Linked DNA regions of Ovis aries. The protein of the gene in region 4 interacts with the protein of the main gene of each other region in a biochemical or structural test. Links are inferred from orthologs where the notes say so. Each region holds a gene or a part of one and is shown on either strand. Other genes may lie near its edges. The genes, in order: ANAPC2, ANAPC11, UBA1, UBE2S and RNF7.

What was found.
Region 1: the proteins of UBE2S (region 4) and ANAPC2 form a complex in vitro, tested with the Homo sapiens proteins (3 studies listed by BioGRID and IntAct). The link is inferred for Ovis aries from reciprocal best matches to the Homo sapiens genes UBE2S and ANAPC2.
Region 2: the proteins of UBE2S (region 4) and ANAPC11 form a complex in vitro, tested with the Homo sapiens proteins (31 studies listed by BioGRID). The link is inferred for Ovis aries from reciprocal best matches to the Homo sapiens genes UBE2S and ANAPC11.
Region 3: of the proteins of UBE2S (region 4) and UBA1, one has a biochemical effect on the other in vitro, tested with the Homo sapiens proteins (8 studies listed by BioGRID, with this or other methods). The link is inferred for Ovis aries from reciprocal best matches to the Homo sapiens genes UBE2S and UBA1.
Region 5: the proteins of UBE2S (region 4) and RNF7 form a complex in vitro, tested with the Homo sapiens proteins (3 studies listed by BioGRID). The link is inferred for Ovis aries from reciprocal best matches to the Homo sapiens genes UBE2S and RNF7.

Annotation. Positions count from the first base shown.
Region 1 is NC_056056.1:746,791-752,918, reverse strand, and holds the start of ANAPC2 (anaphase-promoting complex subunit 2), read right to left. Parts: upstream 3,875-6,128; 5' UTR 3,847-3,874; coding exon 3,739-3,846; intron 3,492-3,738; coding exon 2,869-3,491; intron 1,732-2,868; coding exon 1,599-1,731; intron 792-1,598; coding exon 617-791; intron 273-616; coding exon 153-272; intron 1-152. Other genes in the region: microtubule nucleation factor SSNA1, read left to right, coding at 4,052-4,103, 4,490-4,689, 5,010-5,117. UniProt on the Homo sapiens protein: Together with the RING-H2 protein ANAPC11, constitutes the catalytic component of the anaphase promoting complex/cyclosome (APC/C), a cell cycle-regulated E3 ubiquitin ligase that controls progression through mitosis and the G1 phase of the cell cycle.
Region 2 is NC_056064.1:50,495,558-50,501,669, forward strand, and holds the start of ANAPC11 (anaphase-promoting complex subunit 11), read right to left. Parts: upstream 3,704-6,112; 5' UTR 3,591-3,703; exon of another isoform or gene 3,153-3,590; 5' UTR 3,087-3,152; coding exon 2,978-3,086; exon of another isoform or gene 1,581-2,977; intron 1,455-1,580; exon of another isoform or gene 1-1,454. Other genes in the region: ALYREF (THO complex subunit 4), read left to right, coding at 3,855-4,091, 4,572-4,703. UniProt on the Homo sapiens protein: Together with the cullin protein ANAPC2, constitutes the catalytic component of the anaphase promoting complex/cyclosome (APC/C), a cell cycle-regulated E3 ubiquitin ligase that controls progression through mitosis and the G1 phase of the cell cycle.
Region 3 is NC_056080.1:57,612,315-57,617,845, reverse strand, and holds part of UBA1 (ubiquitin-like modifier-activating enzyme 1), read left to right. Parts: intron 1-852; coding exon 853-959; intron 960-1,190; coding exon 1,191-1,281; intron 1,282-1,388; coding exon 1,389-1,521; intron 1,522-2,013; coding exon 2,014-2,111; intron 2,112-2,217; coding exon 2,218-2,364; intron 2,365-2,495; coding exon 2,496-2,672; intron 2,673-2,798; coding exon 2,799-2,903; intron 2,904-2,990; coding exon 2,991-3,071; intron 3,072-3,421; coding exon 3,422-3,577; intron 3,578-5,192; coding exon 5,193-5,358; intron 5,359-5,521; coding exon 5,522-5,531. UniProt on the Homo sapiens protein: Catalyzes the first step in ubiquitin conjugation to mark cellular proteins for degradation through the ubiquitin-proteasome system.
Region 4 is NC_056067.1:62,872,155-62,878,436, forward strand, and holds UBE2S (ubiquitin-conjugating enzyme E2 S), read left to right. Parts: upstream 1-2,201; 5' UTR 2,202-2,399; coding exon 2,400-2,402; intron 2,403-3,000; coding exon 3,001-3,148; intron 3,149-4,547; coding exon 4,548-4,738; intron 4,739-5,563; coding exon 5,564-5,893; 3' UTR 5,894-6,025; downstream 6,026-6,282. UniProt on the Homo sapiens protein: Accepts ubiquitin from the E1 complex and catalyzes its covalent attachment to other proteins. Catalyzes 'Lys-11'-linked polyubiquitination.
Region 5 is NC_056054.1:247,816,309-247,822,552, forward strand, and holds the start of RNF7 (RING-box protein 2), read right to left. Parts: upstream 3,975-6,244; 5' UTR 3,946-3,974; coding exon 3,771-3,945; intron 338-3,770; coding exon 290-337; intron 1-289. UniProt on the Homo sapiens protein: Catalytic component of multiple cullin-5-RING E3 ubiquitin-protein ligase complexes (ECS complexes), which mediate the ubiquitination and subsequent proteasomal degradation of target proteins.

The DNA.
Region 1 (6,128 bases), on a different chromosome or scaffold from region 4:
CAGGCCCCACTGCGACGGCACCCCGAGACCCCCGTGATCTGAGGCACTGCCCCCTCAACCCGTACTGAAGAGTGGCGCTCTCCTCACAGGGCGGGCAGAACCCCGCCCCCCAAGGGCGGCAGAAAAGCTTCCTGACCCCTCCCAGGCTCTACCTGGGTGGAGCAGCCTCGTCTCCAGGGCAGCCTTGAGGGACACGAGCAGCTGCGGCCTCTGGTCTGTCCTCTCCAGGCAGTACTTGAGGTCTTCCACAGCGGGCCTCGAGTCCGGGAAGTCTGTGGGGAGAGGCTGATCCTGGCACGTGCACACGTGGTGTGCCCACAGACAGCTGGAGGGAGGCCTGGAGGGTGGGTGGCCACACCTCCACAGGCTGCAGGGAGAGACCCTGCCCGGGGTCTGCTGTGGCCCCTGTGCGCTCAGGGGCCCGCACCCTTGAGCACAGCCCCCTGGAGGGGCAGATGGGCAGAGCAGAGCCCAAGGGCTAGGGCAGAGCTGGGGGCAGATTCAGCACCTCTCCTGCCCAATGCGGATGCGGGGTGGGGCCCGGCTGTGCTCCAGACGCGGGGGTCCTGGGCTGCAGGCAGGGGCGAGGGCAGGGGCCCCCAGCGAGCAGGCTGACCTCGGATGATGCTGAAGAGCTCCTCGATGCGCAGACCGGCATAGATGCGGTAAAAGAACCTCTGCACGTGGCACCGCCAGCGCCGCAGCGTGGCGCCCGGCTCCGGGGACGCGGGCCTGCTGGGGCCGTCCTGCAGGAACACCTTGCCCAGCCAGCCAACCACTCTCTCGATCCACTGTCAGGAGAGCACAGCTGTGGGGCTCCAGGGCCCAAGCCCAGGGCAGAGGTGCAGCTACCTGCCGAGGGCTGGCCCTTGGGAACCCCAGGGACCTGTCCCAGACCAAGGGCACAGTGAAATCAGCAGATGGGGGCCTGAAGGGGCCTCCCAGGGCCTACCCCATGCACACCAGCACCAGGCTCATCTCTGACCACAGCAGCTCTCACAGGGCGCTGCGTCTGAGTGGACGGACACACCCTGGGGACCGCCCACCCAGCCACCGGCAAGACGGCCCGGACGGTCTGCTGCCTGGGGACAGCACAGCTATCCCCGGGCCTCCTGGCGTGCTACAGCCCACTTCGGGGACCCTTGCACTGAACACCACCCCCGCCCTCAGCATTGCAGCGCACAAGCGTCCTCAGGAGGCAGGCAGCAGGATGCAGCGGAGTGGGGAGGGTGGGAAGTGAGGCAGGCTCAGAGCCCCACGGTTGGGCCCGGCTCTCCCACAACGCTGTGCAGCCCAGGGCAGCCCCCAGGCCACGCCCCAACAGCACGGACGCCCCAAGGCCCCGCGCTGGGACAGCCCAGACCTTGGGGCTGCCTCTGGCCATGTGGCCCTGCACAGATCTCAGGAAGCATGTCAGGCTCTTCCTCGCTGGCGCCAGGGTGGGCCCAGGATGACCAGCCTCCACCCAGCACCAAGACAGCTTCAGTCACCAGCAGCGTCCTGATTCACCCAGGTCACCACACTCTGCCCACTTCTAAAGCCAAGGCACCTAGTCACTTTTGCCAGCAGCCTCTTCTCATCCGCGGGAGGGGCCTCACCTTGTGGAACTCACGCAGGAAGGAGCGTTCGTACTCGCCCCGACAACGGTCCTCCATCCGCTCCCGGGTCACCTGGTGCAGGGTGCTGGTCACAGCCTCCGCGCTGACCCGCTCCAGCAGACTGAGCTTGTGCCTGGAGGAGAGCCCCGCCCACGTCGCACGCAGCGCACGCACCCGCCGCGCACCCTCAGCACAGCCTCCTGCAGCCCTCCCGCTGGGGCAAAACCGCCCCGAGGAACTCAAGACAAAGCGGCTGAGATGGCAGCACCGGTAAGGCACCTCCCACTCTCCCCAAGGGGTCAGCACCTCTGGCTACTGGGGCCAAGGCCTCGTCCACCTCCTAACAATGGCCCTCAAACAATAGCTAGAGAAGTCACTACTCCGGCCACGTGAACACAGACGTAGCAGTCTCTGCTTCTCAGTGCTGATCCCGACCCATGATGGCAGAAAAGCCCAAGAGAACCAAGCTTCTGGGGAGCACGCCACACCGTCAGCCCAGTGAGAAGACTCTGACGGCTGCGCAGCTGCCACTCCATTCACACTGACAAAATCATCACAAGGGGCCACGGGACGTCCCGAGCGGTCCAGGGGTTAGTAATCCTCCCAAAGCAGAGGACACAGGTTCAATTCCTGGTCAGGGAACTAAGATCCCACGTGTCGCGGGGCAGCTAAGTGCACACGCCACAGTGAGAGAGAAGCCCGTGCAGGCCAGCGAAGGCCCCATGCGCCGCAGTCCAGACCCGACGCAGCGACAGCGAACAGGGACTTTACACAAGCAAGCACCCAGAGAGCCGGGGACCCGCACGACAGGGCCTGGGTCTGACAACAGAATCCTTCCCCCCTCACAAGGCTAGAAAGGCCATCAGTTTGCCCAGCATGCTGGTCTAATCTCTGACTTGCTCTACAGAGAAGAAACAGCAAGCGTATTTTTCTCAATTCCAAGACAAATGTCATTCCACTTCCGAGAGCCTACAACAGGCACAGCAGAATTCTGCACAGCCCGGGACACGTAGAATCAAGCAGTCTTAGCGTAAGCAGAGTACAAAGGTGAATTCACCTGAGCCAGGGTGAATAACAGACACACCTAGGCAAGGACAAGAGGCATAAACTCATAGAAAACACACATCCTGAGAACCCTTGGGAACCAGGGCGAGCGGCAGAGACCACCCCCAGCTAGCTCACCAGCTCTCTGCAGGGGCCGGCGGGACCCAGAGTGACAAGCAGGAGCCAGGAGGGACAGGGACACAGGACACGCAGGCCAAGTACTCACAGGACCTGGCTGAGCTGGTGGAACTGCTCCAACGCTTGGCGGCACCAGCACTGCTGTTTGTCACTGCCGCACCCCGCGCACAGCGGGCTCTGCAGAAGGCGGTAGTACCGGCGGCGGGCATACCTGCTGTCCAATTCCCCCTCCAGTTCCGGGTCTGTGCCTCCTTCCCCTTTTCTCTTACTCTGCATGTAAACTCTCAAGAAGCGCCCGTAGAGGCGCTGGATCATCTCCTGAAAAGCTCTGGGAGTGGAAAAGAACAGGACGCCCCGCAACGTGGTGTGGACCTTCTCCCGAAGCCCCTGAGCACCGGTGCCCAACAGCAAGCCCAGGCGAGTCCATTTCTCCAGGAGCTCTAGACTACGCAGGTAGGGATCCAGGCGGCTCTCCAGCAGACCGAAAGCATCGAGGAGCAACAGAAGGCACTGGGGCTCGTCCGCACAGTTCTCGCGCTGAGAGATGGCATTCCAGAACTCGAGGGAGATGTTGGCCTGCAGGTCGGTCTGCAGCACCTCTACGAACCACTCCTCCAGGACCGAGTGCAGACCGTGGCCCCTGAGCACCTCCACCGCCGCCCGGAGCTCCTCCTCTTTTGGAGGGACGGCACCGCTGGTTCGAGAGGACGCCTGCAGTACAGAAAACCATGAGAAGGGGACGCACCGCGGAGGCGGAGAGGGTGGAGACAGGTGAGAAAAAGTGGGAAAGGGACAGCGCGGATGGAAGGCCACGGGAACCCCGCCGCCCTTCCTCGCAGGGACGCAGGCCCACGCGAGGGAAGGGCTGCGGAACACGCAGGGAAGCCAGGACGGGCGCCGGCGGGCTCGGGGCCCCGGGCACCCCGCGCCGGCCCGTCGCCCTCATCTCGGGCCTCACCAGTCCCAGCGCGGCCGGAGGCACCAGCCCGGTGCTCACGGTGTTCCAGGCCGCCAGCAGCTCCTGCGCAGGCCCCGCGTCACGGCCCGCCTCCGTCGCCGCCGCCATCTGCGCCCACCAGCTCTCAGAGCCGCTCGGCGAGGCGCGCCGCGATGACGCCAAATTGGGCGCGCGCGCGCGACGATGACGCACACGGTGCGCGGCGAGAGGCGCAGGGGCGGTGACGCGACCGGGGGCGGGGCGAGCGGAGATCGTGCGCAGGCGCTGAGGGGGGCTGCAGCGGCGGTTGGGGCGGCGGGGCCCGGCGGCGACCATGACCCAGCAGGGCGCGGCGCTGCAGAATTACAACAACGAGCTGGTCAAGTGTGAGTGGCCGCGCGGCGAGGCCGGCGGGCAGGCTGGGAGGGCGGCGGGGTCGCCGGCCTGCGGGCCCGGGCCGGCGCTGGCCCGCCGCGCGCGGCTGTTCCGGCCGGAGCGGCCCGGACGCCGGGCGGAGCCGCGGAGTGGCCGCCCCGAGAGCCGGCGTCTATGGCGCGAGCAGGGTGCGGGGGCCTGGGCGCGCTCAGCCCCACAGACAGCACGGGGGCTCGCGCGGGGCCTCCTGAGACGGCAGACGCTCTGGGACGCCGGCCGCCGGCCTGGTCTGGACGCCCGGGCCTTCGCTGGCCGCTCGCCTCGCGCGCTGGGGCCGGCGCTCCCGTGCCCACCGCGGCCCCCGGCGCCCACCGCGCCCGCTCCCCGCTCGCCCCAGGCATCGAGGAGCTGTGCCAGAAGCGGGAGGAGCTGTGCCGGCAGATACAGCAGGAGGAGGAGGAAAAGCAGAGGCTGCAGAACGAGGTGAGGCAGCTGACGGAGAAGCTGGCCCGAGTCAACGAGAACCTGGCGCGCAAGATCGCCTCTCGGAACGAGTTCGATCGGACCATCGCGGAGACAGAAGCCGCCTACCTCAAGGTGGGGCTCGGGGTCCGGGTGCTGGCCCCGGGGCGCCTAGACAGGTCGTCGGCCCCCGTGGAGTGACAGCGAGGCCTGGGTCCTACTGTTGGCGTCTTGTCGCCGTGTCGCTGGCTCCAGACTGAGCAGCAGCGGGAGCGGGAGCCAACCGGGGCCTGGATTCCCGGGGTGTGAGCAGTGGGCTTTGGGCTATACTCAGAGGGGAGCCGGGCCCAGCGCAGGATGGGGCGCCGGGCTGTGGCAACTTTCCGACGGGGCGGGGGGTGGGGGGGGGGGGGGGGGGGGGAAGAGTGTTAACTGGCTGGCGTCTCTGTCCGCAGATCCTGGAGAGCTCGCAGACTCTGCTTAGTGTCCTGAAGCGAGAAGCGGGGAACCTGACGAAGGCTACAGCCTCAGAGCAGAAGAGCAGTGGAGGCAAAGAGAGTTGATGAGGCCGCGGGTGGGGGTCCTGCCTGCGGCTCAGCGCCCCCCGCAAGCCTGTCTTTAAAGCACCTTTGTTCTTCAGGGAAGCAGCTTTCTCGGTTTGTTGTCTTTGGTGCCGAGAGAGGCAACTGCCAAGCTTCAGTGGCTCTGGGTGACGGGATGGCCCTGGGTGTAGCCTGCCCAGTGAGGGGTCCTAGTCCTGCACTCACGCAGGCTCTGGGGAGCATAGCTCTGCAGGGCCCCCACACCACCTGGGCTGCAGGGAAGGCCTGCTTCTAAACTTCGCAGGGCGGGAGTCCCCAGACTTCCTCCCTCAGCCGGTAGGTGCCCAGGCAAGTGGAGGAGGAGCTGGGGCCCTTCTTCACCTCAGAGCTTGCCCTGGAGGCCTGTGACTGTCAATAAAGTTTGTCTTTGTAAAGACCCATGCCACCCTGCTACCTGTGTAGTGTGGGGCTGCCAGATGCAAACCGCACCCCCCTGCCCAAGTCAGAACACAAAACTCTGGCCCGGCTGTCACATGGTTCCTTGTGAAGGAGAGAAGAGGGCCTGCAGTGACTTTCCCTGTGTCCAGCCTTGTTGGGATAGAGGTAAGGGTGCCCCTGAACGCCTCCTGTGGCCTCTGCCACACCCGCTTCCTCTGAGCCTAGTGCACAGCCCACACTGCACTGAAGGTGCCGCTGCTCCTGGCCTCTAGCAGAAGGTCGGGTCTAGGGGACCTTCTTGGGCCTTAGAACGCCGGGAAGAGCTGCACTCCAGCCCAGTGACTCCGAACGCTGCGGGGCAGCACAGCACCCATGCTTCCCACTCTCTGGTCACGAGTGGTGTCTGTGCAGCCTGGGGCCCAGCCATCCCTCCTGAGTCCTCTGGGCCCATCTCCTTGGCCTGTCAGCCCCCCTGGGGTCCTCACAACTGCTGTCTCTTGAGGTTGGGCAGGTTGGGAAGCATGTGTCAGTTGAAAAGGTCTACAGAAGTCTGGGCCCACCCCTTCCAGGAAAACACCTTCCTCCTTCCCAAGC
Region 2 (6,112 bases), on a different chromosome or scaffold from region 4:
GGTCTTAAATATCCTTCAAAGGCTGCTGAAAACCTGCACCTCCTTCCCAGTTTGGGAGCAGCCCTTGCCCCACAGTGGTACATTCACCCTATGGAGTCAGACAGATGGGCACTGCCATCTTCTTACTCTCTTGTTTGGGGCAGTGTTTCTCAATCTTTTTTTTTTTTAACTTTTTATTTTGTATTGGGGTATAGCCGATTAACAACACTGTGATAATTTCAGGTGAACAGTGAAGGGACTCAGTTATACATATACATGGATCTTTTCTCCCCACCAAACCCCCAATCTTTTAAAAGTAATCCTCTCTAAAACAAAACATCACTCCTTTTCTGAATCTTTTATGACAAAACCAAAAAACAATTTACTTGGCAAATACAAAACTATCTAGCTCACTCTGCTTCCCAGGCCAGGGTGGGGGGGTGAGGTGGACGGCCCTGTGCCAGGAGCCCACAGGGTGTGACACCTGATTTCTCTTGGTTCCCACCCCCACCCCACCCCCACCCAGGGTCTTTCCCACCTCAGCAGAACGACACTTGGAATCACGCCTAACACATTAGAGCCCTTGCAAACAGAGGATGCAAGAGGATGCGCAGGGGCCAACTAGCCTGCTGGCAGGGGTACCCTAGCCATCACGTCCATTAGTGGGGAATCTGACACCACCTTCCATGCTGACAGTGACTCATGCTAAGCGTCGGGATCCTCTCCATAAGACTTTCACTCACAAAGCCCTGAGACAAGGAGCAGGTTTATCACAGTCTGAGTCACTCTGGATTTTTCGTAGGAATTCCATCTCAGCAGGGAAGTCCAACATCACTTGATCTGTATAGAAGGGGCCCTGGGCTGACCAAACACTTTGATCATTACCGCTGGCTCACAACCAGCAAGTCCAAAGTTCAGCCTCAACCCCCTCTTCCCAGCACCCAGCACACCTCAGGCAGCCCCACACACTGGGTTCCACAAGCTGCATGCAACCCCTGGTGCCATCTTTGACACTTGGCTCACTCACCCACACTGGGTCAAGGGCATGACCACATAAATGCTACCCTAGGACTTTTCTTTTCAGAAGCCACATCTGCTGCTGAGAAAGTTGAAAGTACCTACCCATAACCTGTGTTGTACCTTTGAGAAAGGGTGGTTTTAGGATTTCCCTGGTGGTACAGTGGATAGGAATCCACCTGCCAATGCAGGAGATACGGGTTCAACCCCTGGGCCTGGAAGATTTCAAACGCTGTGGAGCAACTAAACCCGAGCAATGCAACTACTGAAGCCTGTGCGCCTCGAGCCTGTGCTCCGCAACAAGAGAAGCCACGGCAACCAGGGTAGTGCTGCCTCAACTAGAAAAAGCCTGCATGTAGTAACAAGACCCAACTGAACCAAAAAAAAAAAGGGCGGTTTTAAACGGATTAAACCAAGCCAGACCTTGTGCTTCTATTCTCTCTCCCTTTACATAAAACCTCATCAAGTATGGGAGGGGGGTTCATGTTTGGGAATGCATGTAAGAATTAAAGATTTTAAAATTTAAAAAATAAAAAAATAAAAAAATAAATAAAAAAAAAAATAAAAAACAACAACAAAAAAACCTCATCAAGTAGAACCAATCACTGATTTCCTAAGATTATATCGCAGCCTGATTAAATCAGGATGGATTAGCCCATGGGTGATGAGATTTCCTCTTCCAGATGTAAAGATTTAAGACTAGGATAAAATTATATTTGCACTAAAATCAATTATTTGAATTTCACTGTAAGAAGCAAAGATCTAGTACTATTTTGATGTTCACAGCCCCACAGGACAGGCCTGGTCATTGACTTCTCAGTGGTCCCCAAATCTCACTTCTCTCTCGGGAACACCTTCGTCCCCTAGGCAAAGCCTTAAGACCCTTCCTACTGCTTCTGGTTCACTTGTGTCTGACTAAAAACTAAATTCACTGGTGCAAAAATCTCCTTTTGACCCAAATACTTTCGCTTCACAGAACACACTGGGGACAAAGGAACAATGCAAAAGACACCGCAAAGATGAAATCTGATAAAACCTGAGGTCAGGCATTTTGCAAGACAACATGTTCTGAAAGAAATCAGATGTCTACGGGGAATTCCCTGGTGGTCCAGTGGTTAAGAATCTGCCCTCCAATGCAGGGGATGTGGGTTTGATCCCTGGTCTAGGAACTAAAATCCCACATGATACAAGACAACTGAGCCCATGCAACACAACTGGAGAGAAGCCTGCTCAATGCAATGAAGGTCCCTAAGCAGCCAAAAATAAATAAAGAAAAATAAAAACAAATAATTTGATGTCTAAAACGCGATAGAGAAGTTGAAGCAAAACTATTCTAGATTAAGTAGTGAAGGGAAAAAGTGATCACACCTTGGGTCTTGGCTCACACCACCCAACAATAAAAAGACATTTGAGGACAACTAAAGAAACCTGAACAAGGACTAGGAATGACCGGCAACAGTAAGGCAGTATATTGTCTAAAGTGACAACAGTGCTGGTAAAAGTCAGCACTGATATAGGACATCACATTTAGCATTTGCTGCGGCTTCCCTGGTGGCTCAGTGATAAGGAACCCGCCTGACAATGCAGCAGATATTTAGCATTTACCTTAAAACAGCTGGGCAAAAACAGCCAGATATGAAAACGTGTTATTCATCATTTATGTGCTGGATTGAGGGGGAAACCTTGTAACGTCACAATTTTTTGTTGACTTGAAATTTTCAAATACAATGTCTTAACACATTTTTGTGTTCCACGGGTCTCATAGTGACTTTTATCAGGATAGGAAACTGTGCTCTTTTCCTTACAAAACTTTTGACGGGATCTTTGTACAAATATGGGCCCAAATAGCCTGGCTTTTCTCTGTCAACTTTTCTTGGGAAGAGGAAACCAAACCCCAGAAACGCTCTGCGAGTACTTCTGGGGACACGCCAAGGCCAGATGATAGGCACAGCTCGAGAGACAGCGGGCAGGGGACACTCACAGTCCGGGCAGCAGCCATTGAAGGCCATCCGGCAGATGCCGCAGTTCTCGTCGTTGGCTACCCAGAGCCAAGTGGCCACGCCGTTCCAGCATTTGATCTTCACCTTCATGGCGCGAGGAGCCTGCGAGGAGGGAAGAGACCACCCGGCTGTGCTGAGTCTGCAGAGCTACGGCACCTGGAAGCCAAAGAAGGGGCGTCGCCCCGAGGGTCGAGCGTAGGCAACAGTGGCCGCCGAAAGGCAGTAAGAGGCTGTCTGCAAGGGGACTGGGGCGGGGGCCGGGTCCTCGGGAAGACCGGGAGGACCGGTGTTGGTCCTTCGCCAACACCGCACTTCTGCCTCGGCGTCCGCAGAAGGGCTCGTCGGCTTTCTTTAACAACCGCAGAAACGCGCCGTGCGCTACTTCCGAAAGGGCTGACGGGGCTGAGAGATGGAGACCCAAGCCCGCTCCCTACGAGGTCACCCCGGAAACAACCCTGGCGCGGGCCGCACTCACTCCCGCCGCTGGACTAGGGTGCGGGTTCCCGGTGCGGTGGGGGAGGGGCGAGGGAGAGGCGCCACGCTCGGCCACGCCCCCAACGGCCGCGCCCCCGCCGATCTAATCGCGCGCCGCACCACCCGCCTTCAGTTGGCAGTGCCGGCCCCGCGCGGGAAGGTATATAAACGCCTGTGGCCGCGGCTCGGCACTTCTCAGAGGCGCCCGCCGAGCTCCTTGGTTCAGCGCGCACGCGCGACCTCGCCCCCTGAGACGCCGAAGGCCCGCAGCCAATCCGCGGTCGCTCTGAGGACGCGGCACCGGAAAACCCGCGAGCGGCGCTGGAAGTGACGCGCCGACGTGCTGACGCGCGGGCTCGAGCCGAGGCCGATTCCGCGCCCGCCATGGCCGACAAAATGGATATGTCTCTGGACGACATCATTAAGCTGAACCGGAGCCAGCGAGGCGGCCGCGGCGGGGGCAGGGGCCGCGGCCGGGCCGGCTCCCAGGGTGGCCGCGGCGGCGGAGCCCAGGCCGCCGCGCGAGTGAACCGAGGCGGCGGACCCATTCGGAATCGGCCGGCCATCGCCCGCGGCGCGGCGGGCGGCGGCGGCAGGAACCGGCCGGCGCCCTACAGCAGGGTGAGTGTGGAGACCGGGTGGCGGGCCGCGGCGAGGGAGCGAACCGGCAGGGCGGCGCACGGGCGACCGGCGGGCCGTCCGGGCGGCCGACCGACTGACCGACTGGGCCGGGGGGCGCGGGCGCCGGCCGGTTCGGCGGGCGGGAAGGTCGCTCGCCTGCCGGGCACCAAGGCGGAGACCCTGGCGGCCTTTGTCTTAACAGGGCGCCCGGCCTCACGGCGCTGGGGGCTGAGGGGCCGTTGGCGCGGCCGCCCCGGTGGCGGGAAGTTGGTTGAAGGGAACCGAGAAGTTGCGGGACGTGTGGCCGCGGCGGCCGGGTACGGCCTGACGCGGGCGTGAAGCGGAGGCTGCGGGTCTCTCTCAGCGCCTGCCTCCCCGCCGAGATGGGGGGAGGCTCTTGCTGTGGCCGTGAGGGCGAGGGCGAGCCCTGGAGTGAGACTCACAGACCTTTTTCTGTTCTTGTGTTTTCTTTTCCCTCAGCCGAAACAACTTCCTGACAAATGGCAGCATGACCTTTTCGATAGCGGTTTTGGGGGTGGTGCCGGCGTGGAGACCGGTGGGAAACTGCTGGTGTCAAATCTGGATTTTGGAGTGTCCGACGCTGATATTCAGGTAAGGGACTGGAGTTTCTTGGTGGGCGGGTCACTCCGCACGGAATCGGTTGTGGCGTTTGGGACTTGGCCCAGAATCCCCCACACGCACACCTTGGGACGACAAGCTCTCCCAGGCACCGAAAGGCCAGCCACTGTTCCCTGTGATGGGCTCCAGGAATGCAGAGCAGAGGTTGAGCTAGAGTTGAAAGCCTGACCAATGTGTCAGTTTGTGCTGGAAGACAAGGCCCCAGCTTAGTCTGGGGCGCTGCTGTTCTTCCTTGCTAAAACGTGTTTTGTAGATGAAGGCACTCTGCCCAAGCTCTTCTGGCAGAAGCTTGGTTGACTGTGCTCCGATTCTGTTCCTGGAAGAGCTAGGCTACTTGTTTTCTTTACGTTTTGCTTGTTTTAATGGTTTGTTGGGAGGAGAAAGCACTTCCTTTGTAGAACTGACATAGCACAGAGCAGGATGGTGCCAGCGCCGCTCTGGCTCCATTTGCCTTAAGCCCCATGTCTTACTTGGAATTTCATCCCCTGTCTTCTCACTTACCCTCACCCCCTGGGTTTTGTTAGTGACATGATTCTCAAACATCTTTGGTTGAAGCCTCTTTTTTTTTGCCTCTCTTTCCTCCCCTTTTTCTTTTTTTCCTTTTCTTTCTTTCTTTTTTTTTTTCGGTTGAACCCTAAAGGCCTTTAAATTTGCTGCCTAAAATGGTTAAGTAATGACATCTTGGGGGTCAGTCCAGGAGATGGCTGGGCAGGGTACTGGGCCTTCCTGGGTTCAATTTCCCAGAGCCCAGCCATTTACTTTGCCTTGGGAGGACAGAGCAAGGCCAGTGAGCACTCACAGTGTCTCAACACTTTTTTTAAGGTGGTTTCTGGCATCCACTGGAAACCGCTTTTGGTGAACTCCACTTCCCGCTGTGTGCCTGCGGCCGGAGTAGCCCCACACTCTGGGTTCCCTCTCCAACTCCCAGCCTGCCTGAGGTCAGGGCAGTTTCCATGGCAGCGCTTGACTTCAGGCTTTGCGGCAGGCTTGAGTAGGAGGAGAGGGAAAGGTGAGCCAGAATCTGCCCTGGGGGAGGGGCTGGGTCAGGGCTCCCAGTCAGAGGGCCCTTGGAGCTGGTCCACAAGTGGATAGAGCCCCTTGCTCTGTGATCTTGGCCTTGGCTGCTTCTTGGCACAGTCCTTGGGTGTGTTGTAAATATTCCTTTGTTGAAGAAGATAGCAACTAAATCTTTGCCCTTCATTGGTGGGCTTTGTGATCCTTCACCTGCATCGTGGTATAGATGTCAGGTTCCCAAGTGGGCAGGAGCCCTCGGGCCCAGCTGCTCCGGGAAATTGCTGTCCCACCTGTCCCATCCCATACCCCAGGTCCCACCGCCACTTCCCTGCCCCACCACGTGTATGTCTTCCTCCCAGGGAAATACC
Region 3 (5,531 bases), on a different chromosome or scaffold from region 4:
GCTAGTCTGTGTGTCAGGTTTCACGCTAAGGCTGCAGCGAGGGAATACGAGCAGGCTTTAGACCCTGGGCCTGCCTCTTTAGGAGGAATATGTGAGCCAGCAGACGGGAAGGCATAGTGGTTATTTGCACAGACTGGAGCCAAACTGCCTTGGCACGAGTCTCTCATTGTACTTGGATACGTCAGGCCGGTCATGGAGTCTCCTGTTCTGCCTTTGTCTGTCTGCAGACATGGGAATGGTAGTAATGCTGACTTGATAAAGGTTTTGTGAGGGCTATGGACTAGCAGCTGGTTGTTGGTTAAATAAACTCTGGGCCAGAAAGTGGAGTTGTGGGAGCTGAAATTCTGCCCCAGAGTGTCCCTGCGAGCCAGGACACTGCTGCTGAACCCTGCTGTAGCCATGGGAGCTTACCCTGATGGGAATGGTTAGGCTTTCAGCAGAGACCCATGGCTGAGCAGGTGTTTTAAGAATTGGGAGCAAGTGGGTGTGGTAGGAGTGAGCTCAGACTTTGGCTGAGGACAAAGTTTTACTTCTGTCTCTCCCAGGGCATGGCAGGGCTGTAAACAGGCAGCAGTGGGTGTTGGCAAATGAAGGAGTCAGCTGTTACCCAGACTGTCCTCCCAGTTGTCTCTTTACCTTGCCTGCCATAGTCTAGGGATTCACATTTCCTTTCATTGAGTTTTGCTTGGGCTGAATCTGATACGTGGTAGATACTTTCTATTTGTGATAGAGAGCTGAACCAGCAAAGCCTTAAAGACCCCGTGAGCCCTCCTACCAGCCTTCCTCCATGATCGCTCCCTTTACCCTTCACCCTGGTGCTGGGCCCTCGCCTGAGCTTCCATCTCTCCACAGGTGGTGGTCCTCACTAACAGCCCCCTGGAGGACCAGCTGCGGGTGGGTGAGTTCTGTCACAGCCGTGGCATCAAGCTGGTGGTGGCAGACACCCGGGGCCTGTTTGGGTGAGTGTCCCTGCTCTTTTCCACCCCAAGCTCTGACTGCCCTCAGCCCCCCTTAGGCCTTTGGGTTTTGGATGCTGTGTGTTTACCTTGCCCCACGTAGCGTGAGCACAGTCTGATTCCCAGCAGTGATGGGTTGAATTTGCTCAGCAAATACTCGCTGCATCTTGAGGGACACGTGCAGTCTCAGTGCGCGTGGGACTCGGGCATCAGCCCTGTTGCCTCCCTCTACAGGCAGCTCTTCTGTGATTTTGGAGAGGAAATGATCCTCACTGATTCCAATGGGGAGCAGCCGCTCAGTGCTATGGTTTCTATGGTCACCAAGGTGAGGAGGCCAGCCTTGGGTCCTGGCAGGCGGATGGGCGGTCACAGGCCTTCCTGTCTGCTCCCAGTACCCTGAACCTGCCTCTGAGGTACTCCTCCTTCAACCAGGACAACCCCGGTGTGGTTACCTGTCTGGATGAGGCCCGACATGGCTTTGAGACTGGCGACTTCGTCTCCTTTTCGGAAGTACAGGGCATGATTGAACTCAATGGAAGTCAGCCCATGGAAATCAAAGTCCTGGGTGAGCTAGGGCCAGGGGGGAACCAGGGGAGATAGGAGGCGTTTCCCTGGGCTCTGTGTGAGGGGAGACATATCCTGGGTATCTGGGATGAACCAGAGGTAGAGTCTCCTAAGGTCTGCCCAGCAGGGTGTGGGGGAGAAATGCTGTCTTGTGTTTGAGCTGTTCGTAGAATAGGCCCCTGATAGCTGCACTGAGGGGAGGCAAGGTCTCTGGTGTTTGAACAAAGATCAGAGGATCCACTTGTGTCTGAGCTAATTCAGACAGGGAGCAGAGAACGTCTTCCGTTGTAGACTTGGGGTCAGAGACGTGGGGTCCCGTGGGCGCTGGGTCTGGGGTAGAGGGGAGATGGTTTCTGAAATTCGAGTAGAACTCAGGATGGAGAGGAGATTACTCCTGATGTCTGAGCTGGGTCAGGAATGGATTTTCCCTCATCTTGTAGGTGGTTGTAGGTTTTAGGGAGAGTGGGTGTCCTGACTGTTTTGTCTACCCTAGGTCCTTACACCTTTAGCATCTGTGACACCTCCAGCTTCTCTGACTATATCCGCGGAGGCATCGTCAGCCAGGTCAAAGTACCCAAGAAGATCAGCTTTGTGAGTGTGAGGGGCAGTGGGCTGTAGGAGCTGGGGCTGGGCATCTCACGGTTCTCAATTCTCTTCTGATTCTTTTTTTTTTTTTCTGATGCCCTGCTTCCCACAGAAATCCTTGCCAGCCTCCCTAGCAGAGCCTGACTTTGTGATGACAGACTTTGCCAAGTATTCCCGCCCTGCCCAGCTACACATTGGCTTCCAGGCCCTGCACCATTTCTGTGCTCAGCATGGTCGGTCCCCTCGGCCCCACAATGAGGTGGGTGTGGGTGAGCCAAGCCAGGGTAGATGACCTTGGCACTGCAGGCCCATTCTGCCCCTCTCCCTACACCTCTCGCCCCTAACGCAGTGACCTAACAGGCATGCTCTTGGTTCCTTTGGCCCCACTAGGAGGATGCAGCAGAGTTGGTGACCATAGCCCAGGCTGTGAACACTCGATCCCTGCCTGCAGTGCAGCAGGGCAGCCTGGATGAGGACCTCATCCGGAAGCTAGCATATGTGGCTGCTGGGGACCTGGCTCCCATAAATGCCTTCATTGGGGGCCTTGCTGCCCAGGAGGTCATGAAGGTCAGCATAGGTGGAAAAGGCCAGGGTTGGCATAGGCCAGGCGCCTCCCTGCCTCTATCACTTGTCCCATCTGCATGAGGCCCCAGGTAAGCACTGACTACTTCCCCTCTCCTGCTTATTCTCCAGGCTTGCTCTGGGAAGTTTATGCCCATCATGCAGTGGCTGTACTTTGATGCCCTCGAGTGTCTCCCTGAGGACAAAGAGGCCCTCACGGAGGACAAGTGCCTCCCGGTATGTGAGTAGAGCCCTGGGGTAGGTGACATAGGGGGCATTTCTGGTGAGGCTGCTCTCTGACCTTTCTCCCTTTGCATTCCTCAGCGCCAGAACCGTTATGATGGGCAGGTGGCTGTATTTGGCTCCGACCTGCAGGAGAGGTTGGGCAAGCAGAAGTACTTCCTGGTGAGTGATCCGCTGGAACACGTGCTTCCTTCGTATCCCCTGCCCTCTGGCTACCTGTTACGGTGTCTCTTGCCACCTGAGGGAGTGTCTTTTGGTTCTTGTATCTGTATCACATGACTTTTGCCTTTTTTTCTTAATCTTGGGAAAGCTTAGTATGTCCTGTTTCCCCCATCTGTGCCTCCACCCTCAGATGACTAGGTTATTTTCATAGCCGTGGCACTTAAGGATGTGGCACTAGACACCCCTCTCTTGCTGTCTTCTGGGGAGTGAGAGTACAGAGTGATGAATGACTTCACGCTGACTGCATCACCCTGACCCAGACACTCTGTCTCTTCTTGGTTGTTTTCTAGGTGGGCGCAGGGGCCATTGGCTGTGAACTGCTCAAGAACTTTGCCATGATTGGGCTGGGCTGTGCAGAAGATGGAGAAATTGTTGTCACAGACATGGACACCATTGAGAAGTCAAATTTGAACAGACAGTTTCTGTTCCGGCCCTGGGATGTCACTGTGAGTGTGATGAGGGGTGGAGGCGGTACTTTGTCATCTTGTTTTCATCTTGTCTTTTGTTCCCATTCTTCCTAAAAAGGGGGCTTTACTGCTTTTTTCTTTCCTTCAGCTCTCCCTCAATTTCTGTCACTCGTTCAATGAATGCTGAGTACCCTTCCATTGAATCCACCGTTTTTCATGTCCTGTTTTCTTTTTCCTTGACCTCTTATGAATGCTGGTTGGGACAGTGTGTTGGGGGTCCCAAGTGTAGTGATTCACTAGGGGGACTCACAGGACTCAGCATATAGTCATACTCAGGGCTATGATTTATTCCAGTGAAAGAATGCATAACAAAATCAGCAAAGAGAAGTTGGGGTGAAGTCTGCGGGAGACCATGCACAAGTTTCCAAGACTCTCTCCCAGTGGAGTTGCACAGGACACCTGTAATTCCCCTAGTAGCAAGTTGCAACAACACATGTGAAATGTTGCCAGTCAGGGAAGCTTGTAAGAAACCTAGTACCCAAGGATTTTACTGTAGGCTGGTCATGTAGGCTCCCTCTTCTGGGAACATCCCCAAATTGCAGACTCCAAAAGGAGAGCAGGAGTTTGGCCTAAACCGTAGGGTTTTCATAAGCAGCCTAGGCACAGTGAGCAGCCTTTACCAGGTGGGGAATGGTAAGAACTCTTGAAATCCAGGTTTCCAGACTGCAGCCAAGGCCCAACCTGGCCAGGAGGCCTCTTTCCTAGGAGAGCACTTGTGCTAGGTTCACTGTTCTCTGCACAGATAGAAGCTAGGTTATACAGGGATCTAGCTAGTAGGCCTTCTGTGGGGAACAGCATCATTGCCTGTCCAGGATCGACTTCCCTTTTGTTCATTCATTTATTCACCAAGTAGTTATTCACGTAGGTGCTCTTGTAGGTACTTGGAGTACACCAAGGAAACAAAGATTTGGTGGAGTGGAGACAGAGTAAAGAATAAACACAGTACAGTAATAAAATTTATACTCAGCGTTCTTGGTAAGTGCTGTGCAGAGGAAAGAGCAACAGCACGATGAGGGAAGTGGGCAGGCCAGGGAGATCAGTTTGCAATTTTGATATGTGGAAGGGCTCATCTCTGCCAACTTGGAGGGCGTGAGGAAGTAGAGTTCCTCAACCACTCAGGCAAAGATCCTGAGGTGGGAGGGGAGTAGGAGATAAGCTGGAGGAAATGGGGACCAAGTCATCTTACCTTCGGTGGAGGTGGGAGCAAGGGAGGGTTTTCAGCAGAGGAAGGATATGGCCTGATTCGAACTTCTTGTCTGTATGCTAAGATTGTTTTGTTTGAGGGGAATGTTCCCTAGCCTAGGTGCCATTACCTGAAAGAACAGTGGATGTTGGGTAGGCAGAAGGACAGAAGGCTGGCCTGTCTACTGCTTCCCTTTCCACTGAACCCCTGGCATATCAGTCCCTGCCCTAGCCCTGTGGTATTGTCATGAACTGTCTCCTGCCAAACCAGAGAGCTTCCTGAACTCAGGGCCTAGTTCTTCGCAGCATTAAATATGTCAGCCTTCAGGAGGACAGCTCTGTAGAGGTTCTCTGGTTGCACACATGAATAACTTGAGTTTTGTTCCCCCATTCCCACTCTCACTCCCCCTAGAAATTAAAGTCTGACACAGCTGCTGCAGCTGTGCGCCAGATGAATCCTCATATCCGAGTGACAAGCCACCAGAACCGTGTAGGTCCTGACACTGAGCGCATCTATGATGATGATTTCTTCCAAAACCTGGATGGTGTAACCAATGCCCTGGATAATGTGGATGCCCGTGAGTTTGGAGGCGGGTGAGGAGGTCAGGGGCCAAGTTACATGTATGCGTGCACACGTGTGTATGTGTGTGTGTGTGTGTGTGTATGTTTTGGAGGTGTCTGTCTTCCTGCCTCCTAATGTTCCATCTTGCCACTCACATTATGTTGTGACCCCACCCCCAGGCATGTACAT
Region 4 (6,282 bases):
TCCTTCCTTCTCCCTCAGGACCTGTCCACGTCAGGGATCCCTAGCACGTCTCCCACCCGCCCTGCCATCAACGTGCTCACCGGCCTGTCTGCTCCCACCCATGCCCCATCAAAGCCTCCAACGGCTCTCCAGGACCTGAACGCTTCAACACACCACCCACTCAGCCTCACCGGCTTCCCGGTGGCGCCCCAAACAAACCACACGTGATCCCCTCGCCTCGCCTTTGTATGGGCTGTTCCTTTTTCTGAAGAGCTTTTGCCATATGGTGCTCAGGCAATTCTTCCTCCGACAAGTCAGTGAGAAGCCCTAGCCCTCTCTCCCTGCACCCCGGGCCCTGACTGATCCGATGTCTTTATCACTCGCCGACGTAATAGGATATACTTACTTGTTTACTGTCTGGCTTCCCCACGAGGTTGTCAGCACCCTGAGCACAGGGATTTTGTCCCTTTTACTCTCAGCTGTATCCCCAAAGCATCTTACCTGCCACAGGGCTGTTGCTGTTTAGTCACTAAGTCTTGCCCAACTCTCTGCAACCTCATGGACCGTAGACCGCCAGGCTCCTCTGCCCATGGGATTCTCCAGATAAGAATACTGGAGTGAATAGCCATGTCCTTCTCCAGGTGATCTTCCTAACCCAGGAATCGAAGGGGAGTCTCTTCCATTGACTTTACCACTGAGTCACCAAGGAAGGTGCTCAAAAACCCAAAGCATACTGAATAACTGCCAGTGTCCAGAGAGGAACCTCATAACATCCACCTGACCGGGTTGTTTCGAGGTTTCAATGAGATCAGACATGCAAATAAATTACAACAGTGCCTTGGCCAGCAAGCATGAATCAGTAACCATCACTCTAATGAGCACCATCAGTCCTTGTCAGTCGGGTGGACTCCGGAGCTACAGCTCAGTCTGACCCCCAACTCCACCTCGTCTCGAGTGGGGGCCCCTGGGCAAGTCACTAGAACCCCTCTTCCATCAGAGTCCTTGCGTGTTAACTAGGCCGGACTTAAGGTGAGGAGTGGGGGGTGCCCGAGTGCAGTCAACCCGCCACACACTGGTTTTGGCTAGGGCGGTGGCCGTCTCTGCATGTTTCTGCCCCAGTTCTAGAAGCTAGGGTCCCACTTGGGGTCTTGTCGGGACCCTCTCTAGAGGGTCTGAGAGACCTTGGCGGGGGCGCTGGGCCACACAGTAGCTGTGGCGGTGGTTCAACTCCCGGGGGTCCTGCTGTAAGGGCGCCGACACGTGGCCGCCGGGCCGGGTCCCCAGACAGGGAAAAGGAGTCCTGACGAGGCCTGGTTGGCGGAAGAACGGGGTCAGTCACAGGTAAGGCCCGGCCCTCAGCAAGGCCTGAAGGCTCTTCCTTTATTAGACACCGTCCTCACAGGAGGCTGAGGCCCGGCCGGGGCCAGAGGTCACACATTGGAGGTCAAGGCTTCTAAGCCTTCAGCGCCGGGCTGACTGGCCTTGGGACCTCCGCTATGCAGCACGCAGGTCACACGTCATTCCCACCACAAAATGGCGCCTCGAAGAGAAACGTACCGCGACGGCCAGCGCCCACCCCCACGACGGGCTGAGGAAGGGGCTCGAATGTCCGCGAACTTATTTGCATACACAAAACCAACGAACTTCATTGGCTGTGAGAGTCTGGGTCCGCGCTAGGCAGAGCCCCCATTGGTCATTCTCCTTTTCTCTGCCCCTCTGGTACCGCCTTCTACGTCAAGGATTGGCCCGCTCGTGTCTCGTGACGCCACTCCACGACTGCGCGTCCCTATTGGTCGGAATGCCTTCTATCATCCTTTTAAACCCCGCGAGTCCCACCTCTTTTCGCCCCGCCCAGGCTCCACGGCCGACCGTTAGTCGCGTGCGCGATTTCTGGGCGTCAGGGCGCGCGCGTACGCAGGCGTCTCATTCAAACGGCCCAATCAGCGTTCGCGTCGCCCTTTACGTCCTCTTCCTTTCTGCTTCCCCCTTCTCCACCTCTCCATTCTCCCGGATCCCCTCCCGGACCCATACGCGCCCCGAGTGGCCAGCCCGCCGCGCGCCCCCTCTCCAACTTCTGCCAGCAGTTTGCAGGAAGGGAGCGAGCCCGTCGAACGCCGAAGACCGTGCGCGCTGACGTCACGGGTCGAGGCGCCGCGAGAGGGGCCCGTGAGGGGGGCGTGGCCTGTGGGCGGATATAAAAGGGTGGCCGTGCGCGCGCGGCCGGCTTCCTGCGGCCGGTCACTCGGGCGGGTGAAGCTGCTTTGCGGTTCGCGGCGGACGTCGGAGGCTGAGAGGAGCAGAGCGGGGCCGCTGGGGCCTCGTTAGGGCCGCAGCGACAGCAGTTGGGCCCCCCGCCCCGGCAGGCGGCCGGAGAGCGCGGGAAGGGGGCCGGGGGGACCCGCCCCCGGCCGGCTGCAGTCATGGTGAGTGCGGCGCCCAGGCCCGGGAAGGGTAGGCGAGGTACCCCCCCGTAGAGGAAGAGGCGTGGTCTCAGGACCCTCTCGCGGGCGGTTTGAGGGGTTGGAGAGCCCACCTGGAGGTCCGAGGCCTGAGTTGGGCCCAGGGGCCTTCATGTAGGCGGGGCGGAGGGGAAGGCCCGGCCGAGTCCCGGGGAGGGCTCCGGCCTTTGGGGCAGGCCTGTGGGTGCTCCGGGAACAACACCACTCTGCGGCCGTCTCCAGGACCGATCTGGGGTTTCCAGGATGGTCTTAACAAGATTAGATGGGGGAAAGGGACCCAGGTAGGCATCGGGCTTACCCAGAATCATTGGGGAGCCTGTGCGGAGCTACGAACGGGCTTCGGGGGCTTCTGGGGAAGGTGGAGTCGTCCGCAGGAGCTCGGAGATGCTTCCCATTTCTAGTGGATTAGCCTGGGGCTGTCGCTTGAGTCTTCCTGGGTTGGGAGTTTCGGGAGCTCGGGGTGATTGATTGACCAGCCCGGGACTCCACCGACTCCTAGATCCTGCAAGAGGCTCCAGGCCCTGGCTCTGCCCGTGGCTCACCTGTTTGTCTCCATACCTAGAACTCCAACGTGGAGAACCTGCCCCCCCACATCATCCGCCTGGTGTACAAGGAGGTGACGACGCTGACCGCTGACCCACCTGATGGCATCAAGGTCTTTCCCAACGAGGAGGACCTTACCGACCTGCAGGTCACCATTGAGGGCCCTGGTGAGTGTCGGATCGACAGGGAGGAGTGCGCTTCCTAGGTCCTAGTCACCCTAGAGCCAGGATAGGAAGCTCCCACTCTTAAGTGGATTGCCAGACCCTGGGGACGCAAGGGTGGGCAGGACAAGCACACACACCTGTTACGTGTGTTCCTGGTGTGCAGGGCTGGACACTAGGAGTGACAAATAATTGTGTACTCTCCATTAAATGTTGGTGAGAAAAACTGGGGACAAAGAGAGCATGTAATGGGTCCTTAGCTTGGCTCTGCGTGTTTCCTCCATCCTGAAGTTGGGTAGGAGTTCTGTGGGATTGGGAGAAGGATGCCAGGTGGGGAGAAGTGTCAGCAAAGGCCTGGAGGGCGGGGTGGACCATCTCAGATTCCTTCCTGTCGGCAGTGTCGGGGGCTCTGGGAACCAGGCAGAGAATAAGCCAGACGCAGGCTTGGGGGAGATAATAACCACGCCACTAGGGTGTTTGATCTTGTAGGTTGGTGTAACGTGTCACTTCACGTGCACTACGTTTAGATTATTGAATTTTTACGACTTAAATGAAGAGCATGTAACGAAAAGACCTAGTTTGGAATCAGGTTTGTGGGCAGTGGGTCCGGGAAGGCTTTCTGAGATGGTGAGAAGGTGATTCACCCCCATGCTGATGCGGGCTCGGTGGGAGGTGAGGATCCCAAAAAGCTTTTGGCAGTCTTGGGGTGTATTAGATATTTTATAAGAACAGAAGAAAAACGATTGGTGAAGCTTACAGGAAGCAGATCTTTTAGGGTCTGTAGGTCTCTTCAGGAGTTTAGAAAGGAAGCCCTTGGTGGGTTTAAAGCAGGACTTCACTGTGACTTCGGTGGGGGTTTGGGTGGGGTTGCAGGCTGGAGGCTGGCATCCATCAGGTGAGTGAAGTGGTTCTGCTGGACTTGGAGGGGGCCTCACATTTATGGGGGGAACTGGATGGGTTGGACATGGGGGCTGGAGCACCAAGAACAGCCCTGGAAACGGCTCCCACGGGTTTTTGACCTGATCAGGAGAGTGATCGAGAGGGCTGTGGCTGCAGCAGGGAGACCTTGGAGTGGACAGAACTGTCCTGAGTCTTGCCTGAGAGACTTGCAAACATGTTTTTCCGGGGGACAGAGGGGCCATATATGTCTGTGCCACTTGGGAATGGTGTGCTGTGGCTTCAGCAGGGACTGAGGAGCCTCCGTGGGTGGGGACCACCAGTCTGGTTAGCTCTGAGCTGGGGTTGGGGGGGAGTGCCTGCAGGCACCTGGGAACCTAGCCCTGTCCTCTCCAGTCTGGGGAAGTAAACGAGGGGGCATTTGCCTCACCGACAGACTGGGGAGGCTGGGTGTTGGGGGTGCCTGGAAGACCTGAGCCTCCTGATGCATCCCCTCCTTGCATTCCAGAGGGGACCCCTTACGCCGGAGGCCTCTTCCGCATGAAACTCCTGCTGGGGAAGGACTTCCCTGCCTCCCCGCCCAAGGGCTACTTCCTGACAAAGATCTTCCACCCGAATGTGGGCGCCAATGGCGAGATATGTGTCAACGTGCTCAAGAGGGACTGGACCGCTGAGCTGGGCATCCGGCACGTGCTTCTGGTGAGTTCTGCTGCACCCGGCCTGCCTCCTGGCCGGCCCAGTCACGTCCAAGCCACAGAGCCTTGTTCCTCTTTAAAACAATCAACGCTGAAGTGGTGGGGGCCTCCACATGAGAGTCCAGGTTTCCAGCTTTTCTAGAAGGGTAGGCAGCGCCCAGGGAACTCTGCCACGGGGCGGGTGAGGGGCTTGTGTGGGGATAGTTTTCTGCAGGCGCAGGCCGAGTGTCTGGTTGGAGAGCCTTTCCGACACCGAACGGCGAGTGCAGCCGTCAGCGCTGTGATTCCGCTGTTTCTCACCCAGGGGTGGCTCTGTGCCCCCGGGACGTCTTTAATTGTCGCTGCTGGGGTGCTCCACCCTCAGTGGGAGGACGCTAAAGAGCTGCTGCCCCTTGGAGAGCCATGCCCACCTGCCCCCCAGGTGGGGCCCCAGGGTCCCTGTGGGCCCCTTAGAGCATGGAGGTCACCTGGTGCCTCTCCCCACCTGCCTCACAAGGTAAAAGTTTTTTAAAAATCTGACTTTCTAATGAGCCCCTAGGGCAAACAGTAGGGAGGACGGAGAGTTGGGGTTTGCAGCAGGGCATGGGGAGGGTCGAGCACCAGAGTAAACTGACCCCAGACCTGTTCCTCCTCTCCCTGGAGCATTGGTAGCGGCTGCCAGAGAGATTGCGGGTGAGCTCACCGAGCACCCGTGTGCCCACTGGGTGGTGAGTGTGGCCTGCCGGGCCGGTACCTGGGCTCCCCTGTCCCGCCGGGGCACTGATGGCGGGGCAGTGTGGGGTTTGAGAGGTTTGGGGGCGGGCCCCTGACCCTGGCCCTCTCCCCACAGACCATCAAGTGCCTGCTGATCCACCCCAACCCCGAGTCGGCCCTCAATGAGGAGGCGGGCCGCCTGCTGCTGGAAAACTACGAGGAGTATGCAGCCCGCGCGCGCCTGCTCACCGAGATCCACGGCGGCGCCTGCGGGCCCAGCGGCGGGAGGCCCGAGCCCGGCCGGGCAACGGCCAGCGGGGCAGCGGCCTCCACTGCTGACCCCACAGCTCCAGGGGGCCCAGCAGGGGCTGAGGGGCCCATGGCCAAGAAGCACGCGGGTGAGCGTGACAAGAAGCTGGCAGCCAAGAAAAAGACGGACAAGAAGCGGGCACTGCGGCGCCTGTAGTGGGCTCTCTCCCCTCCCTTCCCACCTGACCCGACTCTGTCTCTAAGTTATTTAAATTATGGCTGGGGTGGGGGAGGGCATGAGGGCACTGGGACCTGGATTTGTTTTTCTAAATAAAGTTGGAAAAGCAGCTCTGCGCCTCCACCGCCTGGGCTGTGAGCAGCGAGCACCCTGGCCCGTCTGGGGTGCAGTGGTTGGTGGGGCCTGGTCCCGATCGCTCCTGACCTTGTCCTGAAACAGGCACAGTGGACTGGTGGGGTCTGGCCAGGCGGCAGGTGCGGGCCCCATGTGTCTGCCCTGCTCCGGGTTCTTGGTCCAGCTCTGGCTGCAGAGCATGCTCTCGGGGGCCTCTGACTCTCCTGCCAGGCCTCATGACACCGGTTTTGTGG
Region 5 (6,244 bases), on a different chromosome or scaffold from region 4:
CTTATTTTATATTTTTCTTAATAGAATATATTTCTTTTTTGATTATTAAAACATTTACCATGCCCATGTCTACAATATATAATCAATTCTTCTGAATTACAAGCAATTAAAGGACTTACAGATAATTCCATTAAGACCCTTTGAGAACCAACACATTTTATATTAATAATGAATCGCTGCTTTACAGTTTATTTTTGTGTATTGATAAAGTCAATCTTAACTGCAAATTCAAACATCCCCACTGAGAGAAAACCTTCAGTTGAAAAAGCAGAACAAAATTACAACATACCAACACAATCCTCTTGTTTGTTTTCAGCTTGACATCTAAGACAGGCATCTAAAAGTAAACAAATAGCAATTCTCATTCTGATGCTCAGAATGCAATTTTTAAAACCCCATACACTTCAAAGTCAAATAAAAGGCCCAAAGGGTTAGAGATGTAGATTAGAAGGCTCATACTATTAATTTCTCATCTGAACATAACTGCTTAAAGATGAATAAAGTACAAGGCACTCTACTAATTTACTTATGACCAGGAGCAATTTCACAAGAGTTACTGACCCTCTATTTTCACAAGTGCTGATTAAAACATGTCCTGACAGTGGATGTAACTACTAGAGAAAAATATGCTATATTTCACTATATTACTCCCTGGGCACATGCACACAGATCAATTTTATGAACAGTTTATTTTCAAGACATCCTTTAAAATAAGCCACAAATATATATTGGTATTTGCTTACATATATTTAGAAACTCTAGAAGGATAGTCAAGAAACTAATAATAAAGTTCACCTGGGAGGAGATGGAATGGGAAGGGGTTTTCACTGCACACTTTCTCAAGTTTTTAAGTTGTGACTGTATAACCTACATAAAAATTAAATTTAAAAAACCCTAAATATTAGGTTCTCTCTCTTATTTTTTCTTTTTAAGGAAATGCTCCCTTTACAAATAATCTGAGCCCAAAGCATTTACCCAACAACGGTAAAGTATTTTAATAAATTACCTGGGAGTAAACATGAGGAATGGGAACCAAAAGGATATACTAGAACTTTTCAAAATTCAGTCTGTACTACCATTTGCTTGAAGAACGTAATATAGAATATTTTAGGAACCAAAGAAATGGACTCATTCACTAGCTGAAAGCAGTCAAAGTTGGGTGAAAGGAAGTTCAAACTAACAGAAAAAAAAAAAAGATTTTAATATAAATTAGAGAAAAATTCTATAAAAATAGAAACAGGATAGAGTTGAAGCCTACTTCTTTTCTTACACTGGATTATGCTCAGGCATTTGTTTGCTCCTCTCTGCATGCTCTTACCCTTAAAAAAAACACACTACCCTGGCCTCTTCAGTGTGGATTAAAAACCACCACTGCCTCCTGAGGCTTTCTTCAATTTCACAGTTACTGAGTACCTACCCTGTGCAAAGAGTAATGCCTGGGGGCCACCAAAATGACCAAGTCTGGGTCCCTGGTCTCACCAGTAAATGGGAAAGTGGATAGGTAAACAGTTAAATATCGCAAGGATCATGATATAAGGGGGAAGACATGCCTCTGGTTCTGTGCAGTCACAGAAAGTTCAGGATCCCAACTGTCTCTTTTACAAGTTAGGAAAACAAGGCTCCAGAAGGTTATGTCAAACGTCCAAGTTAACAGATAGCTGTGGAAGGTTACTCTGGCTCTTTATCCCTTGACAATACAAGCAAACCTCGTCCCCTCTTCCTCACCGGTGCTTGCTAGCAGCTCCTTTCCCAATAAAGTCGGCAGAGTGGAAACCAAGGAAGAGTGTCTTAACCACATTAGAATGGGCTGACTGGCAATTCTTAGATCAAGAAGTTATAACAAATCATTTAGGTGTATGAGATGAATTCAAATATCAAGGACACAGGATTAAGTGGGCTTTTTATAGAATCTAGAAGTCTCTGAATCATGCCTACGGCTTTTATTTAGATTCACTATCAACAACTGATCTGAACAGATAAAAATTCCTAAAGTTTCATATAAAAGAAAACATTTTCCTTTGATGATGTTCTTAATATCTAAAACAGCGCATTTCTAAGGAGTACAGTAACACCTTTTAGAATGATGCCAGAAAACACACTTCCTTCTGCTGTCACCTGACCACCAAATAGATTTTAACACCTCATAAACACAATACAGAGGTCTAGCCCAGAATACTTTTCTGAACCCAAAGTACAGCTGTTGTAAATATGAAACATTAATCCACAGTAGCAAATACTTGTTATAATTAGAAAGTTAATGTGAGAAGTGAGTCATTTATAGCCCATACTTTGACTTACCTTAAATATCCCAGTAAAGTTTATTTCTTGCAAACTTTCAACCATTATTTTATATTTTGCATTTCTACCTACTAATTTAAAATTTTTCTTTGGGGAGAAAAATAAGATGCTCTTTTAGGAAAATTATTTTAAACTAAAAAAGAAAAAAAATCCCACAAACTGGAAGTTATGATTCTAGCTTTCAAGAAAGGGTTAGGGCAAGGGGGCTGTATTGCAGGCCCATAAACTAAGTACCTAAAAACCCGATACACAAAATAAGTCGATCACATCTGAAATCTAGTTCTTTTAAAAAGTAAAAAAATATTTGAATCCCATAGTTGCAAATTCTCTTTAAAACAAATTCCTACGAATAAAAAACATAAGTGCATACTACAGAGAGAGTAAATTGAGAAATCTCTTGTTTCTGGTAGGTCTAAATTTTCAATGCTCAAGAAGGGAAAGCATCTTTTAAGTTACTTTCTCCAACTGTCTCATTTTTCAGTGCAAGACACAAAGTTTTCAAACTACAGAAGCCTCAGTTTTCTCCAATTACCTTCAAGAAATGACATTTAAGACACTCTTAAATGCTGTAGTTTTAAATGCCCTATTTAAAAATATAACGTGCATTTAAACAGCAACTCTTTTTTAAGGTCGTCTAAGATCTTAAAACAGAGACCATATAAAACACAACGAGATGAAGCTGCTCTGAAAGGCTTCACGTGGTCCAATATTTTCATTAAAAATATCATAGAAAGAAGTAACAAGTTTGCAAAAGAGGGCTTTCCAGAAAGGCCAGACTTGAGGGCACTACCCTTCTCCAAGAAATTGCATGCTAGGATGGGGAGTGGCCAGTAAAGAGATGAAGCTTCATGTCTCTGAATAAAAGGGTTTACATTCTTCTAGTTCAAGCCAACCGAGTGCGATCTGACCAATCTTGAATCATCCAGGTTTAAAAGCCAGCAGAACAGTAGCCAATCTAGAAAGGGGACGGCTAGGAACACTCTTCTTCCCTGCGCCTCTCCAGAGCACGACTAGCGGCCGTTTGGGGGGAAAATGACTCCAGAGCATCACTTTGGTGTGTGACCAGAACCATCCGACTGACCCGCTGACTCAGGGCCTTGACCTTGACCTCTGTGTGGTTTGCTTTCGGAAAAGGGTGCGGTCGCTGGCCACACAAACCGAAGTGGTTCCTCCCAGCTCCCGTCAAATCACCTACTTTTATTGTCGTGATCACACCGATCACTACTGGAAATGACCTTGTTTAACTGTCCTGCCTGCTACCCCCCTATTCCCCCAGAATACCCGTCCCCGGCACAAGTCGCCTGCTGAACGACCAGCTCGGGCGTGGCCCGCGGTCTCCTGGGGCCGGGGCAGGGCGATCCCGCCCCTACTCCTCCCGGAACGGTCTCTCCAAGGCTTGGTCCTTCCCCCCACGCCCGAAGCCGGGCCTGCGGAGGCCGCAGCACAGCCGGGGCCTCGCCTGCTGCGCTTACCCATCACCTGGACCCTGCAGATGGCGCACGTATCGCACTCCACGTCCCAGCTCCACATGGCCACCGCGTTCCACTTCTTGAGAGAGAACATTTTGTCACCGCCCGACTTGGATCCTGCGCTCCCCGAGTGAGAGGACAGGGCACAGGGTTCCTCACCGTCTTCCACGTCGGCCATAGCGGCGGCGCGGAGCCGGCGACGGAGACGTTGGGTCGTGGGAGGCGGGCGGCTATGGCGGCTCAGTGGGGCCGTCCGACGGGCCACAGCGCCGCCCGCAGGCCACGGGCCGCCGCGGGGGTCTAGGACCGTGGGGCGCCCGTGATTGGCTGGCGCGGCCCAGTGACGTCACCGTACGCCGGCACCAGCGGCTTCCCGGTGTCCTAGTTCCCGGTACTCGCGTCCCCAACGCCCGGCCAGCTCAGCGGGGTGAGGGACCCCGGACCGACCCTGCGCGGGGGAGACACGTGTCCTGCTTTATGTCTTCATGACACCGCTTTTAGACGTTGTCTTGTTGATATATTCGTCCTTCTCAAATGTAAACGCCCTGGGGGGAGCGGGGACTATTTCTTTTTTCTTTTTGGGTGGGGGGACTATTTCTTGATCATCTCCTTCGTTAAGAAATGCTGTCTCGGGAGGGACAGTTATATGTTGAGTGAATGAATGACGAGCTAGGAATCTGGTTCAACAGTTCTCAAATATTTTGGTCTTGGGACCCCTTTACACTTAAAAATTACTTAAGGACATTTAAGAACTTTTGTTTGTATAGGATGGATGTGTACATATACACGCTTATACATATGTATTTCCTTTTTAAGAAAACGGGGGAAATGTGAATATATTAATTCACTTCAAAACAGTAAGAAATCCATTACAAGTTATCCTTAGAATACCAATATTGTACACTCACAAGAGAGAATGAAGAGAAATAGCTATGAGTGCTGTGCTGTGCTTCGTCGCTCAGTCGTGTCCGACTGTGCAGATCCCATGGACTGTATGTAGCCCGCCAGGCTTCTCTGTCCATAGGATTTTCCAGGCAAGAATACTGGAGTGGGTAGCCATTCCCTTCCCCAGGGGATCTTCCCAACCCAGGAATTCAACCGGGGTCTCCTGCATTACAGGCGGATTGTTTACCAGCTGAGCTACCTGGGAAGCTCAGAGCTATGAATACTGTTATGTAAATATGTAAATAGTTTTGACCTTGTTGGTCCCCTGAAAGACTTCCAGGAACCCTGGAGACCACACTCTAAGAAACTTAAATCTAGTTTAACTTTTTATGTGTAGGAATACTGAAGTCCCCAAAAGTAATTTATAGTAATTCTGCTATATTTATAAAAGTAATTTATAGTAATTCAGAAAAGTAATTCTGCTATTCTGAGAAGGTGACAGTGGAAACTAAGGTTCTTCTGTTACTAGCCCAGGGTCATGTTATGTTTTCCCAAGCAAAGCAGATAACATCTTCTTTTAAAAGATACCGAAGCTGAGGCATGGAGACCGGAAGATGCTTGGTCACACTACCACCTAGTGGTGGCCACCTGCTGTGTCAGGATTAGGACTCAGAGCTTCGCACCTCTTTTTATTTTAATGATGAGGGTCTCATCATTCCCTCATCTCCTGGTGTCAGGCCTGGTGCCCCTGGGTCTAGGCTAACCAAACTTCAGAACTCTGGCAGAGGAGTCAAGGAGGCATTAAATGTGTAACGATACAAATATGGACACAGGGTCACATTTGGCCACATGTGCTGTTTGTTGGGTGGTGCATTAAGTGCTGTCAGAGACAGAAACCTTCCTCAAGACAGATGGAGTGAGGGAGTGAGGGAAAGCCTCATAGAAGAGGTTAAGTTTGAACTCGGCGGGAGATGGGAGGCCTTGGAGGCCAGGAAGTAAATGGAGAAAGCAAATGGACAGAGCAGTAGTGGTGGTAGCAGATATAAATCTCACCACAGTAACTTCATGAGCCAGACAAAAATGTCTGTAAACAAACCCAGATGAACCATCCAGAACATGTTTCATTCACATTAAGCTATCACATATCTGACTATCAGTTCAGTTCAGTCGCTCAGTCGTGTCCGGCTCTTTGAGACCCCATGAATCACAGCACGCCAGGCCTCCCTGTCCATCACCAACTCCTGGAGTTCACTCAGATTCACATCCATTGAGTCAGTGATTCCATCCAGCCATCTCATCCTCTGTCGTCCCCTTCTCCTCCTGCCCCCAATCCCTCCCAGCATCAAAGTCTTTTCCAATGAGTCAACTCTTTGCATGAGGTGGCCAAAGTACTGGAGTTTCAGCTTTAGCATCAGTCCTTCCAAAGAACACCCAGGGCTGATCTCCTTTAGGATGGACTGGTTGGATCTCCTTGCAGTCCAAGGGACTCTCAAGAGTCTTCTCCAACACCACAGTTCAAAAGCATCAATTCTTCAGCGCTCAGCCTTCTTCACAGTCCAACTCTTGCCGGGGTCCAGCCCCGGTGGATCCAG